Schizosaccharomyces pombe: one gene and its partner. Changing the gene in region 1 together with any one later gene gives a genetic interaction. Each region holds a gene or a part of one and is shown on either strand. Other genes may lie near its edges.

What was found.
Region 2: mutations in SPOM_SPAC7D4.12C (region 1) and SPOM_SPBC3F6.01C together harm fitness more than expected from each alone (negative genetic interaction), as found in Schizosaccharomyces pombe (one large-scale study listed by BioGRID).

Annotation. Positions count from the first base shown.
Region 1 is NC_003424.3:2,612,791-2,618,320, reverse strand, and holds SPOM_SPAC7D4.12C (uncharacterized protein), read right to left. Parts: upstream 3,515-5,530; 5' UTR 3,280-3,514; coding exon 1,000-3,279; 3' UTR 726-999; downstream 1-725. Other genes in the region: secretory pathway protein Sec39, read right to left, coding at 1-346; SPOM_SPAC7D4.13C (uncharacterized protein), read right to left, coding at 4,015-4,938, 5,011-5,025.
Region 2 is NC_003423.3:4,183,867-4,189,040, forward strand, and holds SPOM_SPBC3F6.01C (serine/threonine protein phosphatase), read right to left. Parts: upstream 3,093-5,174; 5' UTR 3,029-3,092; coding exon 1,607-3,028; 3' UTR 733-1,606; downstream 1-732. Other genes in the region: pho8 (alkaline phosphatase), read right to left, coding at 1-319, 454-658; erg26 (3 beta-hydroxysteroid dehydrogenase/delta 5-to-4-isomerase), read right to left, coding at 3,841-4,863. UniProt on the Schizosaccharomyces pombe protein: Protein phosphatase that specifically binds to and dephosphorylates the molecular chaperone Hsp90. Dephosphorylation positively regulates the Hsp90 chaperone machinery.

The DNA of each region.
Region 1 (5,530 bases):
CTTTCAATGATGGAAGTTTGCAATTCCATAGTTTCATATTAGTAAGTCGAAGTTGACATAACTCTTCATCTGGTAAAACAATAGGCTCTATATCATTCACAGAAGCTTTTATATTACCATAGTGTGAATCAATATCTATATATGGTATGTAGCATTCTGGATCCGTCGTTTCAGGAAGGAATCGAAGTAAAAGTGAAAGCCAATTGCCTTTAGTGTAATCCAGTAACTTGTAAACAAATTTAGCTTCAGGTAATTTCTTATTAATTATTAGAGATATTAAAAGGTACAATTTTTGTGATTCAGTTAATGAAAATAACCATTTGGACTCCAATTTGTCTTCATTCATAATATGAGCTTGGAAAGAAGGTAAGAGTCAGGGTAAACATTACTTACCATGGGATGAGGTGATAGTAGGTCAAGTTTCCTTAACTAAGATATTTTTAGTTTAGCATTATTGAACTTAATAATAGCTTGTTAGTAGGAATTATTAAGATACATTAGGAAGTTTTTACCGTTATTTACATATCTCAATAAACTCATGATTTTTTTATGCTTTCCTACAAATATTAATATTTTCAAGCGGCGTCAATAAAGTCTTTTAATATACAAAACGCAGTCTAGTTATTCAAAACATCAGCAAATCACGAATACAGCATAAATTATATATCAGAATTATTTACGAGAAGTTGTACTCATGCTCTATATAATCTTTACAATAAGCTCTGCTAAATCTTTGTAATAAATTGATTAATTTTTTTAATAATCAGAGAAAATGATACTCTATATGCTAGGAAATACTAATAAATAATAAAAAATCAAGTGAAGTTGATTAATAAATAATATCCGACGTCTCAGTACGGCATAACTTAAGCCATAAAGATCAAAATAGATTTAAATTTTGATATTTTTTAAAGAAAAAAATTCCGGATTTTCTAGAACCAGTAAAGAGGAAGCTTTATAAAAATGTGAATTTTTGAAAAAATTGAAAAACGAATATTGTCAAAAACTAAATAAGCCAGATCGTCGTTTTCCGAAAGGATACACTACCAATGCAGACGCAAATAGGCCAACAGAAATTCCGATAGCAATTTGAACCATAACCAAACCGAATTTTAAAGAATTAACATCCAAAGTAGAAGAACTTGAGGTGTTGTAAGTATTGTTCGTTAAAGAAGTAGCAACTTCAATGCCAGAAGAAATACCACCTTGAGCAGCCAAACCAGAGGGGACTTGAACAAATATAGCAGGCAATACAGCAGCGAACGCAACTCCTCGACCTAAACGTGAATATATATTACCCAAACAACCAATCGCAAAAGAACCAATTGCATTCGCAATCGGATTTGATCCGAAATGCTTGGCGGTGAAATAATTAACGACATAGCCTGCACAAGATATGAAAATCGAAACAGGCCATTGAGAGGGCCTTGCCTGATTTACAATTAAAAGACACAAAGTAAACAAGGGAACAAACAAAATTTTCCATTTATCATCCATTTGAGTAGATACCGGACATGAAGTTGAGTCAGTGGCATTATGATCCATCCAACCATAAAGAGCTGCCCCAATTGATATACCGAAACTCAAAAATAAAGAATAAATGATGGCATAAAACATTCGAACTCCTCCTGCCACAATATTTTTACTTTGTAGCTCCAGCGAACCACAAAGTACGATATAACCTGGAAGAATTAACACAATCGCGCCCTCCGCAAGCGCAGAAAAACAGAATCGACGACCACCAGAATACCGAATGCTACCAAAAGCTCTACTTAGAAAAGATGTAATAATTGAGCCAGTCACCTCAAAAAGACTATTATACATGGTTGAACGAGGAGCGATATAGTGCTGAAGAATCCCTACGAGGCAACCTAATATAAATGCAATAGGCAAATCAATCCATCCGCCTTGAAAAGACATCGGCAGAATAGTGGCACTAGCAAAACCATAAAAAACAACAAGTATCCAAGTTCTAAAATAAGGAGGAGATTTAAAAATTTCATCTAAACCTCTAATTGCCTCCTCAACACCCATACGGTCGTGCAAAACAGCTTTATATATGTCATGGACCAACTTCAAACGCCCAAGATCAATTGTTTGATTTACACGAACAATGTGCATATCAGAAGTATGAGTGTTAACATCACCAAATGACACTATCATACATCCAGGAATGTACAAAAATTGTCCCTCTATTTCGAGAACCTTTGCTGCAGAAGCCATATGTTCTTCTAAACGATGACTAGGAGCACCATATACCATTAAAGCACGGCATAGTTTTAAAATATATTTTTGGCGTTGTAAAATGTCAGCCAAATGAATAGTGATTTTATATTCTTCGTTCAAACCAGAATTCTTCCTACTGTGATGGTGAAAATTAAATTTTCTACCACGAGAATGACCTGTTTTAGAGAATTGAGGAATTTCCTCCGTAGACTGCAAGCCAGAAGCAGGCGCCATAAAAGTCTGATTTGATGCGTGCAAAAGGTCTGTAAGTGAATTACTAGAAGCAGTCCTTTTAGCGTGTTTTTGCCATTTTGTAGGATCAGTGTGCTTCAAAGAAATCCTACTGGATGTAACTGTATTAGAATTTGTATACAACTTCAGCAAATTTGACAATACGCCGCCACGATAAGAAGCCTTAGGATTAGCAAATGGATCAGATTCATCTATATTGTCATCTTGTTCGTTATCTTTAACATCTTCTCCTTCATCATTAGCGGCCTTCAAAGCGTTTAGCCTCATATGCTCTAATCGAGCTGCCGTGTGAGCAGCAACAAGCTTGTACGCTTCTGTTGTAGTAGAGGGTAGTTCATTAGTTGATTCGACATTAGACATTTTTTCCGGATCGCTCTGTAAATTTTTAGCAGCGATCATAGGTGCTGAGTAGCTTCTATCCAGAGTAGGCCTACGCATTGGTAAGCTATTGACGGAATTTGAACTACTTTGGGTTTTATAGCTAGCTGCATAGCTTTCAACGTCTGTATTCCTAGCATCCAATAGGCCTACTTTTGATGCGGTAGGACTTGGAACAGCCGGCATGTTTACTAAATATTGATCCATGGAAGTTATAGAGCCTCTTTTGCGAAAAGCAGCAGGAGAAGGCGCCCTATGAACAGGAAGAACCTGTGGTCCATCATCATCCTCTGTATCTTCATCATCTTCTTCTATTAAAAATGTAGGGGTCTGAAACGAAGTGGAACTCGGAAAAGATGTTTGTAAGGGAGAGAGGTAAGGTCGTCTATCGGTATTGAAACGCACTCTACGATTTCCGTCCATTGTTTTTTATTTTTCTAAAAAATAACTTTTCTTTTCTAAAATGATAATAAAATTTGAAGATATTCGTGTCGCTGATGTTAATCGCAACAATCAACACACGCCCATAAAAAATCTAATTTACTTCATTCAATGAATCATCACAAATATGATCAATTGTTTTAAAATAATTTAAAACAATTGCAATTCACTAGTTGAAGCACTACAGTTTTCAATTGACACTCCTAAGTGGGTTTATGCTAGGTGGTTAGTGAACACTTTACGCCTCTATACCAAAAATTCCACGTGGTTCGCCTTAATGTCGTTCGTGTCTAGAGCCAGCTTTAGGGAGTAATCAGTATTTTATATTTATTCTTTTAAAATTCTCCGGCCGTATAATAAAAAATTGATGGTTTCTGATGCTGTCGGCGGCGACGCAAATTCATTAAATATGAAATATATTTACTGCCCAGCTTTAAAAAAAAATATACAACTTAAACGACAAAGCTTCCCTCACTTTATTCTGCCACTTATCTATATTAAAAATGTATTTACTTATTACTTTAATTAGTTTTTACAAATGACCATTAAACTCTGTCAACATAATATCCTGTTTCTACAGGATACAGTCATTTATTTAATGAATAATCATCGGTAGTTACTAGCATTATAGCATTCATGCCACGAATCTCAGACCGTGAAATAAAATACTATATAAAAAGATTATAAGCAGCATTAAGCCAGTAATTTTCGTTAGTATTATTTGGTTTTATTCAAATAAGCCGATGATAATAGAATGTCACGAAAAGCGAGATTCATGGAAACAGAAAGTTTTAACTCGGTGCCCCGAAAAATAAAATAATTAACCAACATCAACAACTCGTCTCTGGAAAATGCATTTAAAAATGTTGTTTTCAAGTCAGTTTCATAAAATCTTTTTCTTGCTTTAGCAAGACTTTTGATATGTAAAGGTTCTAAGTCAAGATGAAGAAAAATCTGTAAATTGTTTATTATATTCAAATTCTCCAGCACATACTTATTGTAAAAGTCATCTGTAAGGCTCATCGTGCTAGCTTTAGAATACTGATAAAACAAAATCCTTAAAGCTGCCATAGGAGGAAGGATTGCCATATCCAAGAACTTTTGAATTAGGAAAGAGGGGTAAGGAATCAATAAATTTCGTGGACTTTTAAATTTTGATAAGATATACTGCTGGTCCTTTTCAAATTTCATATTTTCTCTTCGAGAAAATGACCACGAGATGTCTCCTAATGTCTCAGCAGTCATAGGATAAGGCACGAATGAAAGAAGGTGTCTATTCCTTTTAAAAGGATGCAACAAAGACGATTTTGAAAATTCCAAAAGATTTGCATTCGTGATCCCATGTTTTGTAAGAATATCAGTTATTTTTTCGATAACTGGGTATGGTTGGTTTACTAAAAGTAAACATGCACTCGGAGAGCTTTTAATTTCAGGAATTAGTTTATGAATTGAGTCGACAGTTAGATTCCATTTGGTAGATACTATAAAGGTCACTCCCTTGTATCCAGTATATTCTTGAACTTTAAAAATGCTATGTGCATTTTCGGGATATTTAGTAATACATTTAACGCCCTTTAAAAATTCATTTTTCAGTTTCGTCTTTAAAAGTTGTATTGCTGAGTTTTTGATGTTATGAGTACCCTAGGTTTTAGTAGTTAGAGAAAGAAAGAGAAAAATAATGATATGTAATATTCATTCAAAAAGCTAACCTACAATAAATAGACTCATACGTCTAAATGAGTTGTTTCGACCGTCCGAATTTTGCTTTTATTAAGTCCAGTAGAATAATCGCTGTAGACGTAAGTAAAAGGTCTCTTATGTTACAGTCAATTAGGGTTTATGTGTCTTTTACATGCTAATGTTAACTAAAGAAACTTTTTCAAAATTTCTTCAATAATCTTGCATTTGGGAGCTTTAAAATTTGATTATCGAATAAGAAAGTAATATAACTATTCACATAATCCATAGTCTCTTTGTTTATTCACATCCATTAGAATAGGCTTACAAAGTACTTATACTATTTATGAAACGCCTCTTATTAATCATCTAAAAAAGTATTTATGTATAAATGAATTTGAAAATGTTAACTGAAAGTGCGAAACCAATTTATGCAACATGAATATTCTATCTACTATAATAAATGTACATCAAACATTACCAGTACTAAAGGTACTTAATTTTCTTTATAAGTTAAAACAAAAACATGCAAATTCAAATATTCCGCCAAGCAATT
Region 2 (5,174 bases), on another chromosome or scaffold:
TGAGCAGAGAAAGAGGCAGGTGTAGCGTCGGTAACTCTGCTTGTGACAACAATTCCGGTTAAGTAACCGGCTTCTTTAGCAGCCTCTAAGATAGTTCCACAAGGTTTTTCATTATCCAAAACACCAACAGCTCCGTTGTAGGTTTTATTAGCACAAGAAAATGCGGTTGCTCCGGCTGCACTATCCGTAATCAAACTCGAACTGGAACGTGTCCGTGAACTGCCAATTAAATGCTCATCCAAGGGAAGCCTATAACCCTCTTTATCGTTTAGAGTCTCTACAAACGATCTAGTCATAGACAAAGAGCCAGGTCCCATTCCTTTAAAAAAAGTCAGTCACCGAGAAATATTGTAAAAAAAAGGAAGATTCCGTCCCAGTGCTCTAAATATAAAAAAAATCATTTTCCTTCAAAAGAGCAACGGATTTATGAGAGAGCTTACTCCAATCACTTACCGTCAGAAACCATCATAATAACAAATTTTGGTTTCTCATTGGTCCCTTTGGACTTATGAGACGAGAAAAAATAAAAAAATATAACGGTTGATAAAACAAGGATTAACAGAATTCCATGTTTTATCCAAGTTTTCCAATTTCTACGAGAAGGGCTCTCCGGACCCTCGCCATGCACTGGCAGAAGAGGATCGCGCTCAGATGCCATTGAAAACTATTTAAACGGTAAAAATTGAATATCTCTAAAAGAAGGGATGTCAAAGGGTAAAGATCGTTTCAACGCGTATGACTTGTTGATGGATAGTACAAATTTTTGGTGTTGAAACAGCTCAACCATACATTGCATGACGTCATGGTTTAAAGTATTAACTCTCCATGTCGATCCTCGCTATCTTAAATCTGATATCGGATAGTATATGCACAAGTTAATCGAGAATGGCAATTCACCAAGTCCACAAGAAATAGCGTGATGGTAAAACTGTCTATATATACATGTAATATCTACTGTCAAATGCAAGTAGCTGTTGAAAATATTAGAATCAGCTGCTGACATGAAAATCCCGTATATCCAAAATTCGATGCAATTACCTTTCGACTATTATTGAGATCTTGTCATTAACGAAAAAAAATATATATAAGCAAATGAGTTGTGAACAGAAAATAAACAAACAAGTAAAGGACTGAACTGTTACTTGAAAATAAAGTACAGTGTTTAAAGTAGAAGACACATTGATGACTTATGATGGCAGTGAATTTTGAGGGTAATAATAATAAGAAGACAGCATTTTAAATCAGTGCGATATTAAAGGATCAATTGTTTTATTTACTTCATTGTTCATATGAACTTAAACATTATTTATATTTTTATTGTACAAAGAACGTGAAATGGAACTTTTGGAATAAAGAGTAGCTAATCAGGAATTAACATTTGGGAATTCCTAACCATCCAGGTATCGAAACCAATCCTTAAGCTAAAGATTAAACATACAAATAGCATTATTTTTTTGAACGACGGTAACTTCATAAAAACCCAAACAACCAAGTCTTCAAAAAATAATTTAACTGGATCATATAGCTGTGGAACAAATTTTTTCAAAAACCAGAAAATTAAAAAAATGTGGGTGCAAACACTGAGAACAGTGCTTGCAGTCTCCCATCACATACCACTTAGCAGTCCATTGGCATATGCCATTGGGCGAATGTTAGGATGGGGAACGGCTTCAAATTGGTGGAAATCCAACTCCATGTCTTCCTTAACTTTAATTACGGCACCAAGATTTCCGGTACTATCACAATAATTAGGAGCACTAAACACAGTAATACAATAACCATCGTGCTCAACTTCGTAGCCTTGATCTCTGACTTCATGAGAACGGATCACTGCTTTAAGACCATTAGCCTCGCAAAAACGTTTTGAAACATCAGGGCCGAATTGTAAACCCACCCCACGTTTCGATGGTCCTCGTCCTGGAGCAGGTTGTGGATCGGTCCAAAGCATTTCCATCATTAACCCAGATTGTCCAGGTTGCTTTTTACTAAATCTATCAATGTTTCGTAGTTGGTCTAATGTTACGTTATCATCAGAAAATAGGCCACCATGTACAACAAGATAAGAATCGGAAATTAGGGAACCAAGAGGTAGCAGAGAAAAAGTTTCCGAGAAAATATTAAATGTCCTCTCATTATACTTACTACGACATTCACCTTCGAATCCGTAGACTTTGTTCATATCGTCAGTTTCGTGATTACCGCGATTGATGAAAACAGCGTCCGGATATAATAACTTATATGCATAAAGAGTAAAAGCGACTTCAGTGGACCACGAACCACGATCGACAAAGTCACCATTGAATAAATATTTGTTAGTAGGGCTTGGAGGACCATGAAGTTTGAAAATGTTTAACAAGTCAAAATACTGGCCATGGGTGTCACCGCAGATAACCAATGTCTCATCCCCTTTAACAGGAATGTCAATTAAAGAAGGAGTTTTTTCAAGTAATTCTTTTAAGTCTCGCAATATGCTATATGCAAATTTTAGGGGGAGTTTTTTACCTTGGCAAAAGCGTTCCTTCATGTCTTCAACAAACTCTTTCGTTATTTGCTTTTCTAATATTACACCATCATAGTCAGAAGGAATGTCCATGTCTTCAATGTTGATATTCGCAAGTGGTGAAGGAGGTTCAGTATTATGAATAGCCTCCTGAAAACGAATCCTTTTGACCAATTGCTCACATTCACGAAGCTTTTTACGAGCAGCTGGATCACTGGGTGCTAGTGCCAATGCCTTTCGGAAGTCACCGACAGCCTCTTTGGGTTGAAAAATAGCAATATGAGCAGTAGCTCGACGAAAATATGCCTTTGCATATTCGGGGTCGCATTCAATAGCTTTGGAAGCATCATTGATTGCCAGACCATAATCCTCTGACTTTAAATGTGCAAGAGATCTATTGGAGTAAAGAATTGCGTTTGTAGAATCAAGCTCAATGGCTTTTGTATACAAATCTATAGCTTGAACGATATGTCCCTCTTTTAGAAACTTGTTGGCTTCATTTTTTAATTCCAATGCTTCTTTAGCCATTTTATTGAGCAAAAAGTACAAATTCAAGCCCTTGTGAGTTTTTGTTTGGTGGTTGATAGTAGCTAAAAAAGTTTTTATCTGTCCGAACAATGCAGCTTAATAATTGGTAGTATTGGGCTACAAAGAAACAGATATTTAGGATTCTCAAAGATCAAAATGATATTTTTAGAACAACAAATTAATGGCTTTATAAATGCAAACTTTGCAACGCAGCATACATATTAAAAAATAAATACAGAATTTACACAATGTTTTACATTAGAAATCTCAAAAACTTACAAGCGTAATAAAAGCAGTTTCTATGAAGTGTGTCTATTCATTTATCTACGAAATAAAATGACTCGAAACTTATAATACATCAATACATCTCAGATGAGAAAAACTTACAAGGCAATCATTATGTAAAGGAAATAACCATTGTTTTCTAAACACAAGTGATACCGGACAATCTTCGTATAGTTCAAAGAAAGATAACAAAAGCAAACGAGCTGTATCCTTCTCGTCTCAAGCACAACGAGTAGAAAGTACAAAGAGAACGTTATATTGATGTTATTCGATCTTGTCTATATTCCAAGATACCCAAATATTTTTTTTTCCTTTTTTAAGATCTGAGCAATCATCTATCAAATGAAATGATGATATAAGTCATTAACAATTTCCAAAGCGGAAAAAAACTGTTTCGTATCGACATGCTCAAGAGGTAGAACTCATCGAGAAGAAAGTGAACTATGTAGAAATGAAAAAAGACTACGAAGCGTTAGAATTTAAAAATTAAATATTCTTTTAAAGAATAACAAGGCCAATGGCTCAATTTAATGTTTTTTCTCAGTATCCATCCAAGCCAAAGTACGACGAATTCCTTCCTCCAAATCCACAATGGGATGGTACTTCAAAACATCTTCTGCCTTTTGAATGTTAAAGTAACGGTTAGCACAACTAAATTGGACACGGAAACGTGTAAAGCCAGGTTCCTTTTTCAAGAAATAACAAACCCATTCAGCAGCAGTGGCTAAGAGCATACCCACCGGTCTAGGGAATTTGATGATATAAGGGGGAACGTGTCCTGCATGTGCCCAAATAGCACGTGCAAAGTCCCAAAAGTAAATAACCTGTCCATTGGTAATGAAAAAGACTTGGCCATTGGCAGTAGGATTACTAGAAAGTAAATTGTCCATAGCCAGAAGATGAGCATAGGCAGCGTTTTCGATGTAGGTAAAATCAAAAAGATTCAAATTATCACCCAATTGAAATTTGGTTTGTCCATTCTTTAAAACAGAAAGCATACCAGGGACGAGTTGGCGATCACCTGGACCAAATAAACCAGCAACTCTAAGGGCAGCAGTTTTTAAAGATTCAGAACTTGCCTCCAAGACTTGTTTTTCTGCCAAAGCTTTGGACTCGTTATAGGCATCCATATGAACTTCTGGGATGGGCTGGGACTCATCCACATTGATAAGGTCAGCACCATTGAAAACTACACCTGCGGAACTAGTATAAACAAGGGCATCAACATTAAATTTCTGGCATGCTTTGATGATATTCGCTGTGCCATCTACGTTCACTTCAAAGTAAATATCACGAGCAAGGTTATGCACAGGTGAAGCAGTGTGAATAACTACGCGTGGATGAAATTCCTCAAAAACACGCTCAATATCACCTTGTTTCGTTAAATCACCCGTATACATGGTGAATTGACCATGAAGCTCGTGTAGCAACTTTTCATTTTCAAAGAGATCAAATGCAGCAATTCGAAGATTTTCACGTTCGCACAGCTGCCGTATGATATGACCTCCTAAAAATCCACTTCCAATAACTAACACGGAATTCATCGGCATTAAAAAAATACAAGAATAAACGATTGTCTGGTTCTTGCCAGGTATTCGACGTTACACCATATCGAGAAATGAGTGAGCTTATTTGCTACCTGTGTTTTTGGGGTGTAGGCTAGATGCAATACACTAACCATGATTAGCGAGAAAGAGAGCAGCTGTTGAATATGGAACATGGGTTAGAGGATAGTAGCCGATTGAAACTCTATTAGTACAATATGTAGTACGCACTTAGAAAACAGAAAAATTAAGTGAGTAACATCTCGAGTACCATTACAAGAAAACGATGACCTCCCGACCTCGTACCGTTCACATCT